2 linked regions of the Bombyx mori genome follow. The protein of the gene in region 2 interacts with the protein of the main gene of each other region in a pairwise test. Links are inferred from orthologs where the notes say so. Each region holds a gene or a part of one and is shown on either strand. Other genes may lie near its edges.

The links.
Region 1: the proteins of follistatin-A (region 2) and thioredoxin-like protein interact in binary tests that used the Homo sapiens proteins (3 or more experiments, as listed by UniProt). The link is inferred for Bombyx mori from reciprocal best matches to the Homo sapiens genes FST and TXN.

Annotation. Positions count from the first base shown.
Region 1 is NC_085130.1:3,049,952-3,060,533, reverse strand, and holds the start of thioredoxin-like protein, read left to right. Parts: upstream 1-5,566; coding exon 5,567-5,737; intron 5,738-10,582. UniProt on the Homo sapiens protein: Participates in various redox reactions through the reversible oxidation of its active center dithiol to a disulfide and catalyzes dithiol-disulfide exchange reactions.
Region 2 is NC_085125.1:5,660,258-5,670,158, reverse strand, and holds the end of follistatin-A, read left to right. Parts: intron 1-1,726; coding exon 1,727-1,939; intron 1,940-3,024; coding exon 3,025-3,246; intron 3,247-3,748; coding exon 3,749-3,822; 3' UTR 3,823-7,058; downstream 7,059-9,901. Other genes in the region: mitotic spindle assembly checkpoint protein MAD1, read right to left, coding at 9,717-9,901. UniProt on the Homo sapiens protein: Multifunctional regulatory protein whose primary function is to antagonize members of the transforming growth factor beta (TGF-beta) superfamily including activin, myostatin, GDF11 or bone morphogenetic proteins (BMPs).

The DNA.
Region 1 (10,582 bases), on a different chromosome or scaffold from region 2:
TGAAGGATGGAAAAAAATAATTACAGATGACTTTGTGTACCTCTTGTGTGCTGGAAAACAAAATTAAATTTATTGTTACAAACCCATAGACTCCTTTTTTTAATATTATTGTCTTAATGGGGATGTTGGTTCACATAATGCCCACTAAAACTGAAACTTCAATTTTGCACAACTAAGCAACTGCTTACAGTTTCAAAATTTGTTTAAAAAAGACAGGACTCTGTGGGGATTTCATTCCAGAACACAGTGTTTCCAGGTGATATGGATAAACTCTGCGCGATGTGATTAGATAAATTAGAGAGATTGACTAATCTCAAAAAATACGTTAGAGCACTCCCCGTCTGTGAGGAGGCAGTCTTCTCCCGGTGATTGTCACAGGGCGACCTGAGGGAGTTGAGGCTGCGCCGCACGCTACCTTCACTCTAGCGCGCTGGCACCAGGAGGACGGGACGACGCGTTGGCGGCTGCGGCCTGCGAAACGGCCTGCGTTGTCGTCGTCGCTGTCGTCGCCAAACTGACTGTGGAAGAGCAACCCGGTCGGCGGTATATCGCGTTCCGACCCAGCAGGCTGGTTCTAGCCCAGCGGGGTATCCTGGAACACCAGCGGCATCGCCCGGGCGGCCTGATAGGGCCGCCGTACCGCGGAGACCAACGTCATGGTCGTCGACTATCCCCTCGACGACCCGTCGGTCGGACGTCCTCTGGGTGGCGCCGCGAATCTGGTTGTAGTGTTGACCGCGGGAACCTCCCTACTCTGACCGAGTTCTGACCCCGGACGAAGATCGGACGTCGGGTGTAAGAGTGCAGGGGAGTCGCTTAGTGCGGTAGGGCCCTAAAATTCCTTGAGCCCGCGGTCTGCTCCCAACACCTTGCAGATAGTCAAGTCCCACATACCCCGCACGCCCCCTAGGCGCGGGGACCTCGTAGGTGGTTCGGACAATAATGAATAATGTTAAATCAAAGAATGTCAAACATCATCAATAAATACATTTTTATGGTTTAATATTTAATGAAACACAAGTAATGAAAATACACATATTATTATGTTACAAAAATCTTTGTGTTGGGAAAAGAGTGTATCTATCCAGCTCATTATAAAATAAAATTAAAGTTTGAAAAAATCTACACGTTTTTAATCATCATAGTTTTGAAATAATACTAAGACTATAATATCCAGATAATATCATTGTGATATTGTTTGGGTGTGTCTTACCTTACAACCCATCCTGTGGAACATAGTTTCATGGCCTCTACTTGAAAGCTTGAAAAGGACCGAAAGTGTTTTCTGGAGGCTCGACAAAGTATTGGTATGAAGAAAACTCTGTACATGTTTATAACGGATAAGAGCTCTTCCTTTAGAGAAATTGCTTTAGTCCCTGCAAAAACATCAGACCTACATGTTCATGGTAAATTGTGATACTGAAATCAAAGTACCTATATTGAACCTTTTTCAATGTCTTTATTGAAAACAGGTATGTTACTTTATGATTTGTGAAAGCTGTGGTAGTGAATGATGCCATTTTATTGTAATATGGATCCGATGATTGTGGCTACCAGCTTTGAGAGGCAGACACGAAGTTCCTTGTGACTTGTTTGCCTACCTATTGTCAGTAACTTTGAGGGGTCATGCTAACTTCACCGAACGCGTAGGAGAGCATACTTTGGCTCAGCCTGGAAGACTTTGCTAACATCTGTCCTAGCAAAAGCAGAACTTCGCTGAATCTTCCACCGGATCGGAACCGCGGCTCACTGGAAGATCCGGCGAGATACTCAGTGAGGTTTTCTTGTGACCGAATTATTTGTCATCAAGCATAAATGTTAGGTGACGGACTGCTTATTTATGAAGATGTTTTTAAATACGATTCCAACATTTCGAAAACAATATGCTAATCTTCATTTACTGAGAAACACAATTATTATTTTCTCAGATCTATCACGGTGACAAGACAACCGAGCCAAGGGTATGATTCATTAATAAAAAAGAGCATGGCGTCATTTAAAACAAGAATTTAACATATTTTGTTTCGCTCCTGTCAAATGCATTAAAGTTGAAAAGAGACGGCGATATTAACATTGTCTCGTTCTGTTGAGGAAAATTCAAATTCAGAACGCTTCGAGCCGAGCTATTCTGATTCAGTAATAAGTTTGGCGCCAAATCGACTGTACGTTGTCACTTGCGTGTTTCTTATTTGCATTTTAAACTGTGATATTATTTTTAGTTTCAATTTATCTGGTGAGTGTTCAATATTATATTAAGTTTGTATCGGAGCTCGGGTGTCAATAAAAATAAGGTCTACGTCTTTTGGTCTTAAAATTATTTTATACCTTCGCTTCCAAATTCGAACAATTATTCACACACATTTTGGAGTATGTACATAGCAACCTCTAATTTATTGTGTTTCTAGCTACATAGAATTTTTCCGGCTTAAAATTGATTTTCAATGTCGAATTCGTAATGTAATATGTCTTTGGAGCATGAAATCTGTTTGAGAAATTGTATAGGAGTAGGAAAAAACTTAGATCCGTATGCAAACGGGATTCCAGAAGATTTTATGTGAACTAGACCGGTTCTGTCCTTTGATTAAAATGTACCTACCATTCGTAGCCGCAATATACGCGCCACGTGTAGTTTATCTGGGATGTAGGTACCTTGATTTTGAACCGTTTACAAAACTATAAGGTCGTAAAGGTTTTAAATTGAAAATTCTCGAGAAACAATACATAAGTACGCTCTCTCTCTCTCTCTCGCGTCTTTCACTATAAATTTGATCTCGACGCGGCCTATTGCTAATTGCATGTAAATCACGATGGTTTTTAGTGGGGACACTACAAGGATATGAACTAATTTAGACTATGAACTATCGATACTTCCTTATATATTATAAATGGGATGTGTGTTTCTCCTTTTTTTTGACGTCGAAACAAACTGATGGATTGTAGTTTTTTTTTAAATAACCGCATGTATTTAGGAGAATGACATTGGGTAACCTTTTATACCGAAAAAAATGTCAATATCACCGGAAACTACACTGATCCTTTTCCTTGACCACGCAGACGAAGCCGTGGGTAACAGCTAATGATATAGAATAGAATCATGATGATTTTCATTTGCTGTCTTGACCTATGAGGCGTGATATGGTTTCGCTCGAGTTACCACCAAACTAGGTACCTATTTATGTGACGTGAAAGCTGTGTTATTGTTATGCAATTGAGAACTTGATTTAATATCAAAGCTAGTTATATATTACGTAGTCTCGGTAACTACAATGTACATCAGATTAGATGAACCGTGAGATTTGTTTTTTTTGCAAAACTATAAAATAATTCAAAGAATCCAAATTCTAGCAATCTAAACTTTAGGGCTATCGCTTAGGTCTACTTTAGGCTCTAAAGCGAACGTCAAAGACCTGCGAGTATAATTAAATAAAAACATTATAGTTATTTTCTTTTCTTCCCGGCCTTTTCATCTTCGACCACAGAGCTCCAGACAAATGACGCGCCTCCTTAGGAACTTTGTAAAAGATTCAGGTTTTCCCCGCCCAAAAATGTTTTTATTTTTCTAGTCTAAATGCGTTGCTTTAAAGTTGCAAGTGTATATAAGTAAACTGGTCGCTAAAAGACCGGTTTTTTTATAAACCCCCAACTTTAGTGGCTCGGAGGCCTTTCCAGCTTCATCGGAAGGAGTGGGTGAACTCACAGGCTCTAGGCCTGTAAACTAAGCCTTTATTTGTCTCTCTTTAAGGTTTCAAATCTTTTGATCGTTCCAAAAGTTCCAGATATTTCTATAGTTTATAAGAGGCCCGTCCGCTAACTAATACCCACGTATCTGACATGGCGTATTGCACTCTGCAAGGTTTTCCATTTGTACTTATCGATCGCCGACGACCTTGTCAAACGTAACTAAGACCTATCGGACCGACACAAAGCTGGTTATTTGATACGGACATTATTTATTCAGAATATAACCGGTTTTTTTGTTGTGTTTACGTTCACACGGATAATGACTTTGGCAATAGAACGTATTGTTTAAGACGTCGAATTGGAATTTTGGTTAATGTCGTGATTGTGTATTAGTAAATACTAGAGGTCCCGCAGTAGTCGAAATTCGACTATAATTAATTGGAATTGTAAGTTTGTACACTATTATGATTGTATTTTATACTTCTATAATCACAAATTTCGCCAAGACTACACTATAAAAAATATTAACAAAGACAATGTTTAATCTATTCTCAATTTGACAACAGACGCCAAGAACAAAAGTTTGACAATAAATAGTATGCATGCGTGTGTGCGTCAAATACATGGTATGTAGTGTGTGTAATGTTTTCTTTATTGATTAAATGTATCTTTTATGCATTATTTTAAAAATATATTAGCATTGTGCATTTCTTCTCTATATTCTCTATAAGTGTGGGGAATTTCATACTCCTCCGTCCGCGCAATTTTCATAAAAAGGAATACAAAGTTTTTGCTTCACGTATTAATATATAGATATGGCTGCTATTTTATCGTAACATCTGAGCGAGCAGTTCTTATAGTGAAGACGAAAAGCCAAGTCAAACGAACGACCAGACTACAAAATGATTTAATAAATTAATAAACGTATAATTTTTAAAGCATATAGTTAATTTTACAATTAACCTAATATCTTAGTACTCTTTAGTGAATCCCTATTAGTTTTCTTCAGTGGACGAGTTCACGGACCACCTAGTTTTGAGTGATTATCCTGTAATACGTACTTTTATCCACTCACATATTTTCTCCGCGTGTCCTAACGTGCCTCATTTCCACTACAGTCATTGCTCCCATATACGTTAGTGAAAATGAAAAGTTTGAAGTATTCGAAACTTAAAAAACAATATCGAGGGGTGTATCGGGTGAGGGGGTGGTTGTAACCAAAAGATCCGTTTTATTTGGTATTAGTATCAAAAAGTTCGATGTTTTTTAATTGAACTTCAATTAAGCTTACTCCATTCAAATTGCTGAAGTTTTTTTTCGAAATGTTAAATTTTTAAATGGCTCGAAAGTTGCAAAAATGACGCGCTTATACCAAACTAGCGGCCCGTTCCGGCTCCGCTCGGGTCTTTGACAAAGATTTCGATGATATTTGACGTTGTTTTATTTTTTTAAATAAAAGCACACTTATTACGGCATAACTATAATAGTTAGACATATGCTGTCGCGACACTTTTTGTAAATAATAATGTGTTCTACAAAGTCGTAGTATATTATTTTTTTCTATCATCAATAGTTGTCGCAGGGCACGCGATGTAAAGAAAATTTTAGGTAATCTTTTTACTCCTTGGGTTACATTATTGGAGTTTTAGTAAGGATCCCTAATCAAAAAACATTATAGCTTATGTAACTCGGGATTAGTGTAGCTTCCAAACAGTGAAATAATTTTTCAAATCGCTTCAGTAGTTTCGGAGCCTATTCAACACAAACAAACAAATTTTTCCTCTTTATAATATTAGTATAGATAACCCCTTCACATCTCTATATGTAGTTTAAAAAGATCTCGGCTTAACTATATAGTTTTAACGTCGCTTGTCCACAGCCCAAGATGTCCATTCACATCAAAGATTCCGACGACCTGAAGACAAGGCTGGCGGAAGCAGGCGACAAGCTCGTCGTGATCGACTTCATGGCGACCTGGTGCGGACCGTGCAAGATGATCGGGCCTAAACTGGACGAGATCGCCGCCGAAATGTCAGATTCCATCGTCGTTGTGAAGGCGAGTCCTTTTTTTTTCTACCTATCTATTTGCTGGTAGCCTAAGGATCTTATTTCAGCTACGCGCGGACGGGCAGGTGAGCCTCACGGGCACAACTTGAGGAATTTGCTAACAGCCCTAATAAGAACAGTGCTTCGCTGAATCTACCACCGGATCGGAATCGCGACCCACTGATAAGTCGTCGTTTGAAGTCGTGGCCTAAAGGATAAGACGTCCGTACCAATTGTTCTAATGAAATACGTACTCAACAAATGTTCACGATTGACTTCCACGGTGAAGGAATAACATCGTGTAATAAAAATCAAACCCGCAAAATTATAATTTGAGTAATTACTGGTGGTAGGACCTCTTGTGAGTCCGCGCGGGTAGGTACCACCGCCCTGTCTATTTCTGCCGTGAAGCAGTCATGCGTTTCGGTTTGAAGGGTGGAGCAGCCGTTGTAACTATACTGAGACCTTAGAACTTATATCTCAAAGTGGGTGGCGCATTTACGTTGTAGATGTCTATGGGCTCCAGTAACCACTGAACACCAGGTGGGCTGTGAGCTCGTCCACCAATCTAAGCAATAAATTTTTTTTTGCTAAAAGCCCTAATTAGAGCAGTCCTTCGCTAAATCTACCACCGGATCGGAATCGCGACCCATTGAGAAGATCCGGCGAGAAACTCAGCGGCTCAGACTAAGCTAGACTAGATAATAGTATCTTTTTCATTCTAGAGCTCTTACCGAGGACTTGTAAATATTCTAGTTATCTTTATAACCATGCCCGAATCGTAAATTGAAATAAACGGGTGTTCATTAAAAATAAACCTTTTCTTCAAAACACTTGTATGTAAAGCAACGCGTCTTATATCTACATATCATTCTTAATATACTAAAGCCTACGTAATAGTTTATATGTTGTCATTGTGATAGCATTCACGCTATCTAACTCGGTAACAAATCTCAAAAACAATTATTATACGAAAGTTAAGATGATTTCTATTTCAATAATTTCAATAATATCTTGAACACAACTGACGACAACTGAGAAATTTGAAAGACCTCTAACTTAATCAAGTCTAAAAGGATTTACCTACAAATTCACCTCACTGGTGGTAGGACCTCTTGAGAGTCCGCGCGGGTAGGTACCACCTCCCCGCCTATTTCTGCCGTGAAGCAGTAATGCGTTTCGGTTTGAAGGGTGGGGCAGCCGTTGTAACTATACTTGAGACCTTAGAACTTATATCTCAAGGTGGGTGGCGCATTTACGTTGTGGATGTCTATGGGCTCCAGTAACCACTTAACATCAGATGGGCTGCGAGCTCGTCCACTCAACTAAGCAATAAAAATAATAATAATTGGATTGTCGAATTTAAAAATCTTCGTACAATACTTGTGTGCGATGCTGTCAATAATTTAAATCAAAATATTTTAAATCGGCAACTGCTTGCTTTGATATTACATAGTTTATATATATATAAAAATAAAATGTTTCTAAAAAAAAACCCAGCAATAAATGTTATCAGAATTGTAATGTTCACTTAAACGTTATCAATAATGCCGCGATAATTTAGTAAGATTGTAAATATAGTTTGGTTGTTATCACGAAAACGTCGATTGCACGCGACCGCATGAGAATCACTACAATATGTAACTTAAGAAATAAACTTATTTGTCGAAGTACATTCAATTAACATTATTAACAGTTTCGTATCTTTGAAAGTCGTCGTGGCCTAAAGGATAAGACGTCCGGTGCATTCGTATGTAGCGATGCACCGATGTTCGAATCCCGCAGGCGGGTACCAATTTTTCTAATGAAATACGTACTCAACAAATGTTCACGATTGACTTCCACGGTGAAGGAATAACATCGTGTAATAAAAATCAAACCCGCAAAATTATAATTTGCATAATCACTGGTGTTAGGACCTCTTGTGAGTCCGCACGGGTAGGTACCACCGCCCCGCCTATTTCTGCCGTGAAGCAGTAATGCGCTTCGGTTTGAAGGGTGGGGTAGCCGTTGTAACTATACTGAGACCTTATAATAATAATAATAAAATAAAAATAATAAAAATCATTTATTGCCTTTCACATCACAGAAAATAAAATGAAATACAAATAAAAGAAAAGAAAAAAAAGAGAAAAAGGCAAAAGGAGGTGGCTCAGCTATTGCTGTTCGAGGTTGATAAATCGAACAGCGCTGATTTTCAGTCACCCCCGTTTCCCCTTGGTTCTTTGCGGGAATGAAGGCTAATTACGTGTGTACATACTTAGAATATGGTATAAATTAGTAAAACTAGTAAATTATAAAAATTTAAGAAAAAAACAAAACAAAAATCAAATTAAATATTGAACCCGAATACATACATATATAACATAATAAGCACACAGTAACAACACCCCGTAGGCAGCCCACAACGAAACAACAAATAAAATAAAATAAAGCACGATAATACTATTACTAATACTGACAAGCAGCACAACATTTACACTTGTACATAAAAAATAAATAAAAATAACTTTAATAAAAGGAGGTTTTCAAAAGCAAGGATAAAACTAGTTCCTATAAATACTATAAATTAAATTAGTTTTTGTGAATCCAATAGAAATGATTTAGAACTTATATCTCAAGGTGGGTGGCGCATTTGCGTTGTAGATGTCTATGGGCTCCAGTAACCACCTAACACCAGGTGGGCTGTGAGCTCGTCGACCCATCTCAGCAATAAAAAAAAATATGTAGAAGTATGTAGAAATTAATCAGAATCTTTAGAAAAGTTTCTCGGGTTCTTCTAAAAAGACTATACTAGCAAATTCTCTCAGCGTTGAACTAACAAGTAATTTCATTTGACTTTTCCCCTAAAACATACGGCTTCGATCCTATATACATAATGTATACTAATATATATAATTCTACAGTGGTTTTTACGGATGTTCCGTTATAACTACTGAACCATGCATCCGATTGACTTGAAACTTGGTATCCATGTAGAAAATACATGTACTTAATGGATAGGCTAATATTTATATTAGTGTTGGACTCCCTGCACCAGTTGCGGGGGCGTTAATGATGAGAATTTTTGTGTTGGAGAGAAATAAATATTAAATGCCCAGCGAAGCGGACGGGTACAGCTGGTTACATAATAAATATGTCTTGCGAATGTACGCGACATACGTATGTTCTATAGCGTTTATTAAACTAATTAGTTTTTTATTAACTATTAACAAACTAACTCCTCCCACGTCATGCCCAAGACCCCTAGCTCCTGCTCCACCGAGCGACGCCAAGTTGTTCTGGGGCGGCCTCTCTTCCTTTTGCCAGACACTTTCCAGGTCAGTGCTTTCTTTGATAGGTGGGTATCGGGCTTTCTCAAAGTGTGGGAGGAGTTAGAACAGACTGCCCAAGACCGATATAAATGGAAAAAATTTGATTCGAGCCCTACACCCCAGCAGAGGGTAATAGGAAAGAATGATGATGATGATTAACAAACTAACTACTAACACTACTACTACTAATAAACTAGTTAGTTTGGTGATTTGAGGTTTTTTTTTGGTACATTTCCTTCCTAATGTAAGGGGCCTATTTGCCTGCAGCAAAAGTATAGCTTTACAGTTGTAGTCCACTTTTTTGTGGCCCTAGACAACAAATCAATTCTAAACTGTCAAGATTTGTAGCCAGTTCAAAATGTTTAAAAAAAAACTTATTGTCTTAGCCTATATTTCGATTCGTTATGTATTTATAGCCGTTGTTCCGTTTGCCTGTTACAAATGAACGATATTTTTAATTTTCATAGAAAACGCTCTTAAGGCCACTGTTTTAACTCTCGTCACCGTGATATGCAAAATATTAAGACGAATTGAATGACAATCACGATAGATCAAGGTGTAATGAAATATTACGCAATAATAAGAAACACGATGGAAAGAAAAAAACACTTTTAAAATAGGTATTTACTGTTCGCTCAATTATACATCAAAATTGTGTTTTAAGTTTTGCTGATGATGATGATAATAATAATGCCAAAGTTTCCCGTAAAATCTCTTAATTTTTTTTTATCTGGCAGTTTTGATTAACAAATTTTTTTGTCCTGCTGTAGAAGTTTTTTTCCAAAATTTAAACTTTAAATGCCTCTTCTGTAAAGTTGCAAAAAGGACGCGCTTATACCAAAAAAGCTTTTCACCCCTCAATAGGTATATGTAGTTCAAAAAGATCTCGGCTTAACTAGTTTTAATATGGCTTGTCCACAGCCCAAACAAATCAAGAATACGGATATAATAAACTTGCTACACTAGTCTGGCCATCATAAGTGCGTTTGACCGCTTACCGTTCCTTCGGTCGATCAATAAAACCATTCCGTTTGCTTGCCTAAGGTCACAGGGTGACTCATAATTCTGACGAAATACCGTGGACCGCGCACTCCCAATAAACATGGAAGTAATGAGTTTCTAATTGCGGAAAATCAACTAAATATGGCTGTTGCTACGATGTGTTATATAAAATTAACTAGCGACCCGCCCTCGCTTCACTTCGGAAACTGTAATTTATTATTGATTTCTCCACTATTTAATGGATGTTATCATACATATAAACCTTCCTCTTTAATCACTCTATCTATTAAAAAAAACCGCATCAAAATCCGTTGCGTACTTTTAAAGATTTAAGCATACATAGGGCTATAGGGACAGAGAAAGCGACTTTGTTTTATACTATGTAGTGATGCCGTATCGTGTCCTTTTTCCCCTTACCTAATCGCCTGAAGCCGCGGGGGCTATTCCACCTACGCACGCTTTGGAAGGTGAGATCAGGGAATTCAAGTGCTTCGCTGAATCTACCGTCAGATTGGAACCGCGTAACTCGTTTTTTGGGC
Region 2 (9,901 bases):
AATATTATAAAGAGGAAAGATTTGTTTGTTTTTTGTATTGAATAGGCTCCGAAACTACTGAACCGATTTGAAAAATTCTTTCACTGTTTGGAAGCTACACTATTCCCGAGTGACATTGGTTATAATCTTTTTTGAAAAAAATTAGGGATCCTTACTAAAACTCAAATAATGTAACCCAAGGTGTAACAAAATTTCCTAAAATATTCTTTACATCGCGTGCCCTGCGAAAACTATTGATGATAGAATAAAATAATGTACTACGACTTTGTAGAACACATTATTATTTACAAAAAGTGTCGCGACAGCATAATAATATATCTTACTATTATAGTTATGCCGCAATAAGTGTTCTTTTATTTAAAAAAATAAAATAACGTCAAATATCGTTAAAGACCCGAGCGGAGCCGGAGCGGTCCGCTTGTCTTAAATACATTCGGATACTGTTTTGAACAAAACGTTGTTTGGTGCCTAACCTTTAAAAATGGAATTATTGCGTTAAATTAACGGCCGTCTGGTGTAGTGGTAAGTGACATGGTCACTACACAAGGGGGTCGCGGGTTCAAATCCCGCCAAGGGAAAATATTTGTATAATAAATATAAATATATGTCTTTTCCAGGGTTATGGATGTATATTAAATATATGTATGTGTATAATAAAAATCTTACATTTATTTCCGTTATCTGGTAACCTGTAACACAAGCTCTGTACGAACTTAGCACGGGACCAGCTAACGTGGCGTGATTGTTAGGAAATATTTATTTATTTATTTATTTCAATAGGCATATTTAGTTAGCACACTTTGTGATTTTGATTGCTTGATTTAATTCATTCTCGTGTTCGAGTTCCGAACATGATAGATCCAAGTAATGGTTGGTAAGTTATAAAGCGGACACTCAATCGCTGTCTAGACTCTAGACCGGACTCAGGTCAGCGCTGGGCCATAAACCGCTATATGATACAATCGACCGAGAAAAGCTTTTGGATATTTACAGAGCTAGTTATATGTTAAGATAAACACCGTGGTTGTTTTGTTCCATTAGGCTCTGTGTTTCCGTTTTTACGACAAGACGTGTGAATGTCAAAGAAACACATCGGGTTTTTTTTTGTCAAGCTTCATATGTTCCACACTAGTCCATTTGCAAAATCTTTTTTTTGTACACAATATGGTCTTTAACTGTGAAGTTGTCGTTTTACAATATTAGTAAATTTGAAACTTAATTTATGTAGGTATTGCAGACAATAAATTCTAGATTGAAAAATGAATTTCATTTTAAAAATATAGAATTCTAATTTCAAATTATGTCATTTATTTGTTTATTGATTACGTACTGTTTTCTTTTTATAAAATTTGTAATCTTTTTCATCAATGTGGACAAAATAAAAATACGAGTAAGGATTTCCAGTTCGGCTGCGGAAGCAATGCCGCACAAACGGCTCACAACATTAATGACGTATACAAAGTGCAATACAAACGAAAGCACGACTCATTATTAGTTTGAAAGCTTCCGACAACGAAATTTTTATCTAAAAAATTAACCCCATAGTCGCGTGAAAACTAAAGTCAACAATGGCGATAGTGGAAACCGGCGATAAATACCCAATCTACAGCTGACGTAGCAGCAGCTTTTAACGTTAGCATCCAAACCGAAATTGGTTCATTGGCGATACATATTCGAATCCTAAAACCGTGTTTAAATTTTTTATTATACCAAAACATATTTTCAGACTCGTGCGATGGCGTTCGTTGCGGTGGAGGCAAGCGGTGCATTCAAGACGCAGAGTTTGGTGTTCATTGCGTACGATGTAGTACGTGCAATGTTGCGGGTTCGCTCGTTTGTGCGGTCGACGGCAAAACTTATGCGGGCACGTGCGCGCTTAGACGCGCCGCTTGTGAGCGTGGTCGCGCCTTGCCGCTGGCTTACAAAGGACGTTGCATAGGTTTGTAAATAATAATTCTAAATTTTTTTAATTATGGTATATCACAACATTACGCTAATTGTATATACGTATGTCTGTTTTAGACGACTTAATTTTTTTTTATAACATTAAATCATCATCAACGAAAACACAGCTATAAAAAAATATCGAGATCTGTTTACAACTAGGAATGTAAACTCATTACATACATAAATACCTAAATCGCGAAAGATTTGTTAAGATAAGACGCACTCTTTCTTATACTGATCTATAAAAAGATTTCCATGTCATTTTAGAAATAGATTTATTATTTTAATTTCATTGCCATTTACAAACAAAAAACATGATTTTAGAGTATTGACTTTTTACATTTAATATTGCATAAGAAATGTGACGTCCGTACTTGAAGTTGTGTTTTGTTGAGTTTGTGTTTTTTTTTTCCTACATATTCGCTGATTTAAGGTACGCGGCCTTGGCCTGCGCCGGATGCACCGCAAGCAACGGATTTTATTTTGCTTTGTATTTTTTGCTCATAAATGCCGGTGCATTCGGTGCGGGCGACGCGGACAGTGGCCGCAGCACTATGAGAAAACATACAAAGCAAAATAAAATCCGTTGCGTGTCGTGCGTGCGGTGCGTCCCATTCCCGATCCTGCGGACAGAATGGAAAGCAGTCGACGTCGCCCAAAACACGTCATTTCGGATCCTCCCGATCCACTAACGGTGTTTTTAGGTACCTCAAGTACCGGTCATCGTCCTCGTCGAACCCGTCGCATGCGACGAAGGGCTCGACGAGTAAATTAACCCACAGACACAGCCCACTGAGTTTCTCGCCAGATCTTCTCTGTGGGTCGCGTTTCCGATCCGGTGGTAGATTCTGCGAAGCACGGCTCTTGCTAGGGTTCGTGTTAGCAACGTCGTCAGGTTTGAGCCCCGTGAGCTCACCTACTAGTTAAGGTAACGCTGAAATAGCCTCTCAAGGCTATCGGCTTAGGCAGGAAAAAAAAGGTACGTCCGGCGCGGGCCTATGGACGCATGCCTTAAGGGGTTATCCCAGCTACGCCTGGACGGGAGTTTGTCTGATTGCATAGTTTGGTATGACGCAGCGAACGCGACGTGTTCGAGTGTGTCTTGTTCGAGGGGGCAGCGCTGCGTGTCGGGCGGCGCGAGCGGCGTGCGCTGCGTGTCGTGCGGCACGTGCGCCGGCGGCCGTCGCAAGCCGCTGTGCGGGTCCGACCGCCGCACCTACCCGTCCTGGTGCCGGCTGCAGCGGGCCACTTGCCGCGCTGGCCGGGTCGTGGACCCGCTGCATCGGGGACCTTGCAAAGGTGACTTTACCTACCAAAAAATTCATAACTCCATGTAGTTACCAGTTTTTTTACTCTCTCGATAGCGTAAAAGTGAACTCAAATTTGTTTGGAGTTGGAACAGCGCCACTGGCAACCAACTTAGCAAAACTCGCACCCACATACGCGTGTCAATGTATAACTTTTTCATCCCAACCAATGATGATGATAACACAAGATGAATAACATACACTCTCAAAAAATTCTAATAAAACCATTTTATCCGGTTAATCTTATCGTTTATCATATTCATTCCATTGTTTGAGACGATTCAAATACTTTACAGTTTTCGTGATCACACACAAATGACTGACTCGAATTAAATGAAATAATTAACCGTAAAAATAGTGTCGCGAAAACCAACAAAAAGCTAAGATACTAAAATTAAACAATTCATAATGATCGGTGTATTGATACTTTACTCAACAGTTTCCGGAAGATGTAACTGATATACTTCTATTAATTTTCATTAATTTTCTTTCAGAAGCCGTAAACGTAACGGACAATATGATGACTAATGCGAGAGGTTTAAGCGCACTGGACATGCACGTCCTATAGTCATAGACTCTTCTAGTTTTAGCGTACCAAGCTTCGTAGTCTATTCAATTTGCAAGTGAAACTGTATTCGGCACCTAAGCTCTATTGTAACATTAACTAACATCGTAAAATTGAACAATATTGATTATCTTTGTTTACAACGACATAGTAATATGCTTAGAGTCTAAGAACTAAGCGGCGGTATAGAGATACACAAGGAGAGTTTTTTTGAATCAGTGCAGCGAGATTATGCATACAGTCAAAACCGTTTACTGCGACATCGTTTAATACAACATGCCGGTTATAATAACCAAGAACAAAGGTCCCGGCTGAATGCCATATGACCGCCTTATTAAAAATATTGCTTTCTACGACATTGGTAATAACGACATACCTCATAAAACGACCACATTTAACTAATATTTCGGAGAATTAGATCTGTTAGAACGACCGGCTAAGCTGTATTGTAAACAATTTGAATAGGTATCCACATTTGTCTTCAATGGCTTTTAAAATCACGAAAGAAAACAATAGGATTTAGTTTAGTGTAGGGTCTTTTCTAATTCTTAGAAACAAAACACGTGCATGCGGTAGTCAAAGTCCGCTTCTTCATATTTCTTCAGTTAGTTTGTTACTTATCTATACACAAGACGCACCAAAACTTTGTGGAGTTATTCATGAAACTTTAAAAATGTCACAAAAAAAAAGAAAACAAATTAATATTGAAGAAAAATCGCGTATTATGTAAATATATTTTTCCAATAATACCCTATCGATTTGTTTGTACTTGCACGATACACATTAAACATCACCGGTTGTTACGACTATCGGTTTTTACGACTGAATATGAGCAATCCCTTCGATGTCGTTATAACAGATTTTGACTGTATTATGTTTCAAACAAATAATACCTCAGTTATTCAGACGATGATAAAAATTTCTCGTCAATGGGACGTTCAAAAGCCAAGCTGTCTTTTCAGTTGTAAAACTCTTTTACGCGGAAACTTTCGTTTACATTAGGTACGTAAAAATGTTGTTTTATTCTCGCTGTTATGTTTAATGTTTATTATATTGTACTTATTCGAAGAACTCTTCTAGTGTAAATAAGTCTTTATGCCGGAATTAAAACCTATTCGTCAAAAAGTACGTTGAATACATTAGTGTTTCATAGCGCCAGGTAGTCAGTCATCAAAGTGCCAGGTTATGTTGAATTTCCATAACAATGTAGTCAGTGTAGATTTTAGAAAAATCTGTCGAACCTGATGCACCTTTTCGATTTTTTATAGATAAATAATAATTATTATTATATTAGTTTTAATAACACTTACATTATTAAAATTTTGAGCACCAAATCGTACTTAATATTTAGTCAAAATATTAATTTTAGGTATGTACTGGTAGTTAGCACAATGTTTGGATATTAAATATTTCTAACTTAATGATTACACTGTTATTTCCATATTGTTGAAAGTCGCTGTACAAACGAAGCTCTTAATGATGAAATGATTGACACATTCATCGGACTGACATAAAATGTTCTTTTAAAATTTTTAACTTTTAGTTATTTAAGACTTACTTCACGAAATGCGGTTAAAGCTTATGCAATATTTATTAATAAGTTATGTGTATGATTTTAAGTGCAATAATTTTATAAAAAAAAAAGTGTGGAAATTATGACATATAACATGTTCTTGTTTTGTTTTTAGATTTTTTTTTATTATTAATTTTTTCCGTTTAAACTGGAACGCGTATTGCTTGTTTCGATTCGGTTTTGAACACGTTCAGAATGTTATAAAAATACGTTTTCAGTATTATGTCGAGATAAGATTTTAGGACTTTAATTTTCGAAACTTTTTTACATTGAAAATGAAGTGGTTTTTTTTTTGTAGGCTGTAAGTATAATAATAATTTATTGTTTATTTTTTAAATAATATTCAAAATGTCTCCAATTTTCATGGATGTGTGTATGTGTGTTAAACCGAGGAATTAATTTGTGAAAATGTATGCATTGGCGTTTTTTTTTTTTTCGTATGCTTAAAAGTGTAGAAGGCGAACGTCAAATGGAAAGATAGACTGCGTAAGAACGTGATGCCAAATTTAAGATTAGGAACAAAAACTTTTTTTTTTTGTTGAAGCATAATTTTCAAACCATGACATTTCGATTTATTTGGATAGGAGTCTTCTTTGGCTTCGAAATTTTATTTTTGTATATTTTTTTAGATAGGTAGCATATTTTAATATGTTACGACGGTCCATAGAGCAGTAAGCCACAAAACTAAATTAACAAATACGATCTTAATTGTGTACTTAAAACTTTCATCAACAGTGATAAATTTGTACATAGAAAAACGGTTCAATTTTAAAATCATTTCCATCAGTTGAAGCCCCATCGAACTTTTCAACTGTATCGAACAGCTTAAGAAAGATATTTGAGATATCATTGAAGCATATAACAGAACTAATCATTGTGAAAACATGTTAAAAGACATTACCTAAATCGAACGAAGCGACTTTAATTATTTTCACAAAAAAAATTGTTTAAACAACACTATTTAATAATTTCTCAATTTAATGTTAACGAAACACTCTAAAATCTAAAAATAGATATGAATGGTCCCAATGAAAAAAAGTAACAAAACAATATTCAAAGGGTTTTTTTTTAATATTCAAAACTATTTAATAATTAATATCGAATTTGGTACAACTAACCATTTGGTGTTCTACGGTTATTTAGGTATGCACGGTCTCATAATCAGCACGATTACTACTTCAACGCCTCATTAAATTAAAATTAGATTAAACATCGTCAGAATAGAAAATTAAAATGGAAATACATGTTAAAAATTTTAATGTCATTTATAAATTCTAAATTTACTAAAAAAATTCAAGTAAAATTTAATATTTTATTTTATTGTTCGTTTTTCATTCAAGATGTACAGTCGAATAACTCAAATATTATTTCGGAAGTTGGATTTCGTAATTGATAGCTGGTTTCTCTTAAGTATTTTCTCAGCTTCAGAATCAGGAGCTGTGTAAGGCATAGATTGTATAATAATTCTATAATATTGTAATAAATTGTTTAAAACCCGTTAACATAAGACTTAAAACTGTTTAATCTAAAATTGATATTGGAATAGTAAAATTCATTTATTCCTTTTTAATGTCTGGCTTTTTGACTAATAAATGTTGTAGACTTCTAGTAATCTAGATAACTTATAATATATTGCCCTGTTTCTTCATAAATATTTTACATTGAACTTGTACTTTTATTTCAGTCCTTCGAAAATCCTTTTTGTTTTGTATTGTGAATTTAATATAACAAACCAAATACCCAATCCTGGCCTGGCCCTCCCGACACCATTGCTAGTATCTCGTCACCAATTAAGCGCGGTAACTCCATTCCATCAAAATATTTGGCCAGCCCATACCGTGAGCTTCGAAGTCAAAGTACCTAGGCGTCATCCTCGACAGAGGGATGACATTCGGTCCCCAGATTAAATCAGTACTCTACAGAGCCGCGTTCCTTCTCGGTCGACTCTACCATGGGATAGAGAGGGCTGCAAGCGAAGTAAATTGTCCCTTCGTAACAAGGTGACACTCTACAAAACTTGTATACGTTCTGTCACGGCATGACCTACGCAAGTGTAGTATTCGCTCACGCGGCCCGTACTCACATTAACTCTGTACACACATCGCTGGCGGCCTCGCTCGGCCTGCACGCGCCTAGTCTCCTCTTGACTAGTTTAGTTTCTTCATTGGGCAATGATACTCGTGTGTTTGGAGTGAACATTTTTTTTCCTACCTAAGCTGATAGCCTTGAGAGGCTATTTCAGGGAAACCTTAACTAGTAGGTGAGCTCACGGGGCTCAAACCTGACGACGTTGCTAACACGAACCCTAGCAAGAGCCGTGCTTCGCAGAATCTACCACCGGATCGGAAACGCGACCCACTGAGAAGATCCGGCGAGAAACTCAGTGGGCTTTGTCTGTGGGTTAATTTACTCGTCGAGGCCTTCGTCGCAAGCGACGGGTTCGACGAGAACGATGACCGGTAAGGAGTGAACATGATGGAATTAGTTATTAAATATTATGACCGCGGTGCCGCGAGCGGCCTTGTGTCGCCGCTGGCAGCCGCGGGCAGTACCATCGACAAGACACACACGGCGCGCGGCTGTTCGCTTCACCGCGGGCGGGCGGCGGCTGTGTCGGAACCTTTTCAAGCGATACTGATCTTTTAAGTATATAGATAAAGTTTAAAATTGTTTCACACTGGAAGTGCTCGCCGCGACGCTGCCGGCCGCTGCCATTCCGGTGTGACTCGGCCCTTATTATTTTACACGCAGCGCGTTCAAGCATTCTTAATGACAAAAAAAGTGCACATGCAATAATAAACTTTACTATAATTACTCAGAACTCTGTTTCCCATGTGACAAAAATTTGGTCACCTCTACGAGCCGGTCTGTGTGAACGGACCTTTCCTCTCTCAGCAGGCAAGGTGTATTACGAATAAAAAACTTTATTTCTGATCATTTAATTCACAATCCATAAAGTACAAAATACAATTTACCTTCTTAAAGTCCAGTTTTTTAAAAGTAACTCACAAATAGGAATGTAGTGAACTGTTTTTCTCTATCAGACATTGGCCCTGATGGTTTTAACTAAATTGTTTCAAGCCAATAAAATAAAATTACGTTCCATAGACACTTCTAGTACGAATTTCAAAAATATAACTCGCCCCAATTTAGGGCATGTAGGATGTCAATATAAATACTTTAACTTAAAAATTCAATCTTGTTCACAGAAACGTTTTTTTTGTATATCTATCTGTTTATAATTAGTTAAACTATACTGAGAACTTAGAACTTTTATCTCAAGGTGTGTGGCGCATTTACGTCGTAGATGTCTATGGGTTCCAGTAACCACTTAACACCAGGTGGGCTGTGAGGTCGTCCACACATCTAGGCAATAATAAAAAAATAAAAAAGTGAAACAAATAAAGAATACAAACTGGAACTCGGAGATGGTCTGAACAGTTTATATAATAATAGAAATGATAAGTACATACACACAGACCTCAATTTTCATCAATAATGTTACTATGTCAAAGATTTTTTTGTTTACCGGCGCAGGTGGATTAGCCAGCTCATGGTATTGGTCTTCACAAGTCGTGAGGTCACAATGGTGTTTGAATGGCGGCTATCCTCCGCATCAGGCAAGACAGTGGGTTTCATTAAAAATAATAAAAATTCAACAATTTGTTTAAGATGTATGATCCCGCACATTTATCGTATACATGCTAACACAATTGACAAATAACATGATTCATTTCTTACATATTTTGTATTTAAATCGAATTTTGGGGTCACAATATATCCTTTCTTGACGCTCTGACAAACAAACTCTAAATCATGCATACATTAACATTTTAACAGTCTGCGCAAATTGAAATTCCTAAACAGAATAAACAATGACGGACAGTCGATTGGGAGGAATAGAGACTAGAGTTAGAATAGGGACAAATCTGGGATGTCACAATACTTTTGTTGAGTTGTTAGATTTAGCTTTGTTGAACTTTAGATTTAACTTTGTTGAACTGAAAATGACTTTTATTTAGTGTTTAAGAATATTAAATAGTTTAATTTAGTCATCAAAGTTGTTTAACTCATTAAAGATATTAAAAAGTTAATTACCTAAAGTTAGGTACTTACCTAACAACTAAATAGTGCCAGCCCTATCGAAAAATTCTATTTTCCCCATACTGTTATACGGTGAAGCTAGTTTTTTCAGTTTTTGTGTATATATTGTAATGAACTATGTATAATAACGCTAAGAAAAACCATTGAAAATTTGTGTTGGATTTGGAAAGGGTCCCGATTCGCCCCAATCTACGGTATTACTGATATTAATAAAAAAAATCTATTCGATCGCGTGTTGGATTGTGGTTTTCGTAAAGAGCTCCATGGTGAGAGCGCTGAGGAACAAGGGTATGGACTGATGCTGGTGCAGATGCAGGTCCAGCAGATCGCCCAGAGTCTCCGAGTAGTCGGTGTGGACCATCTCGATGCCGTCGTCGCACAGGGTAAACGTTAAATATTCTTCGG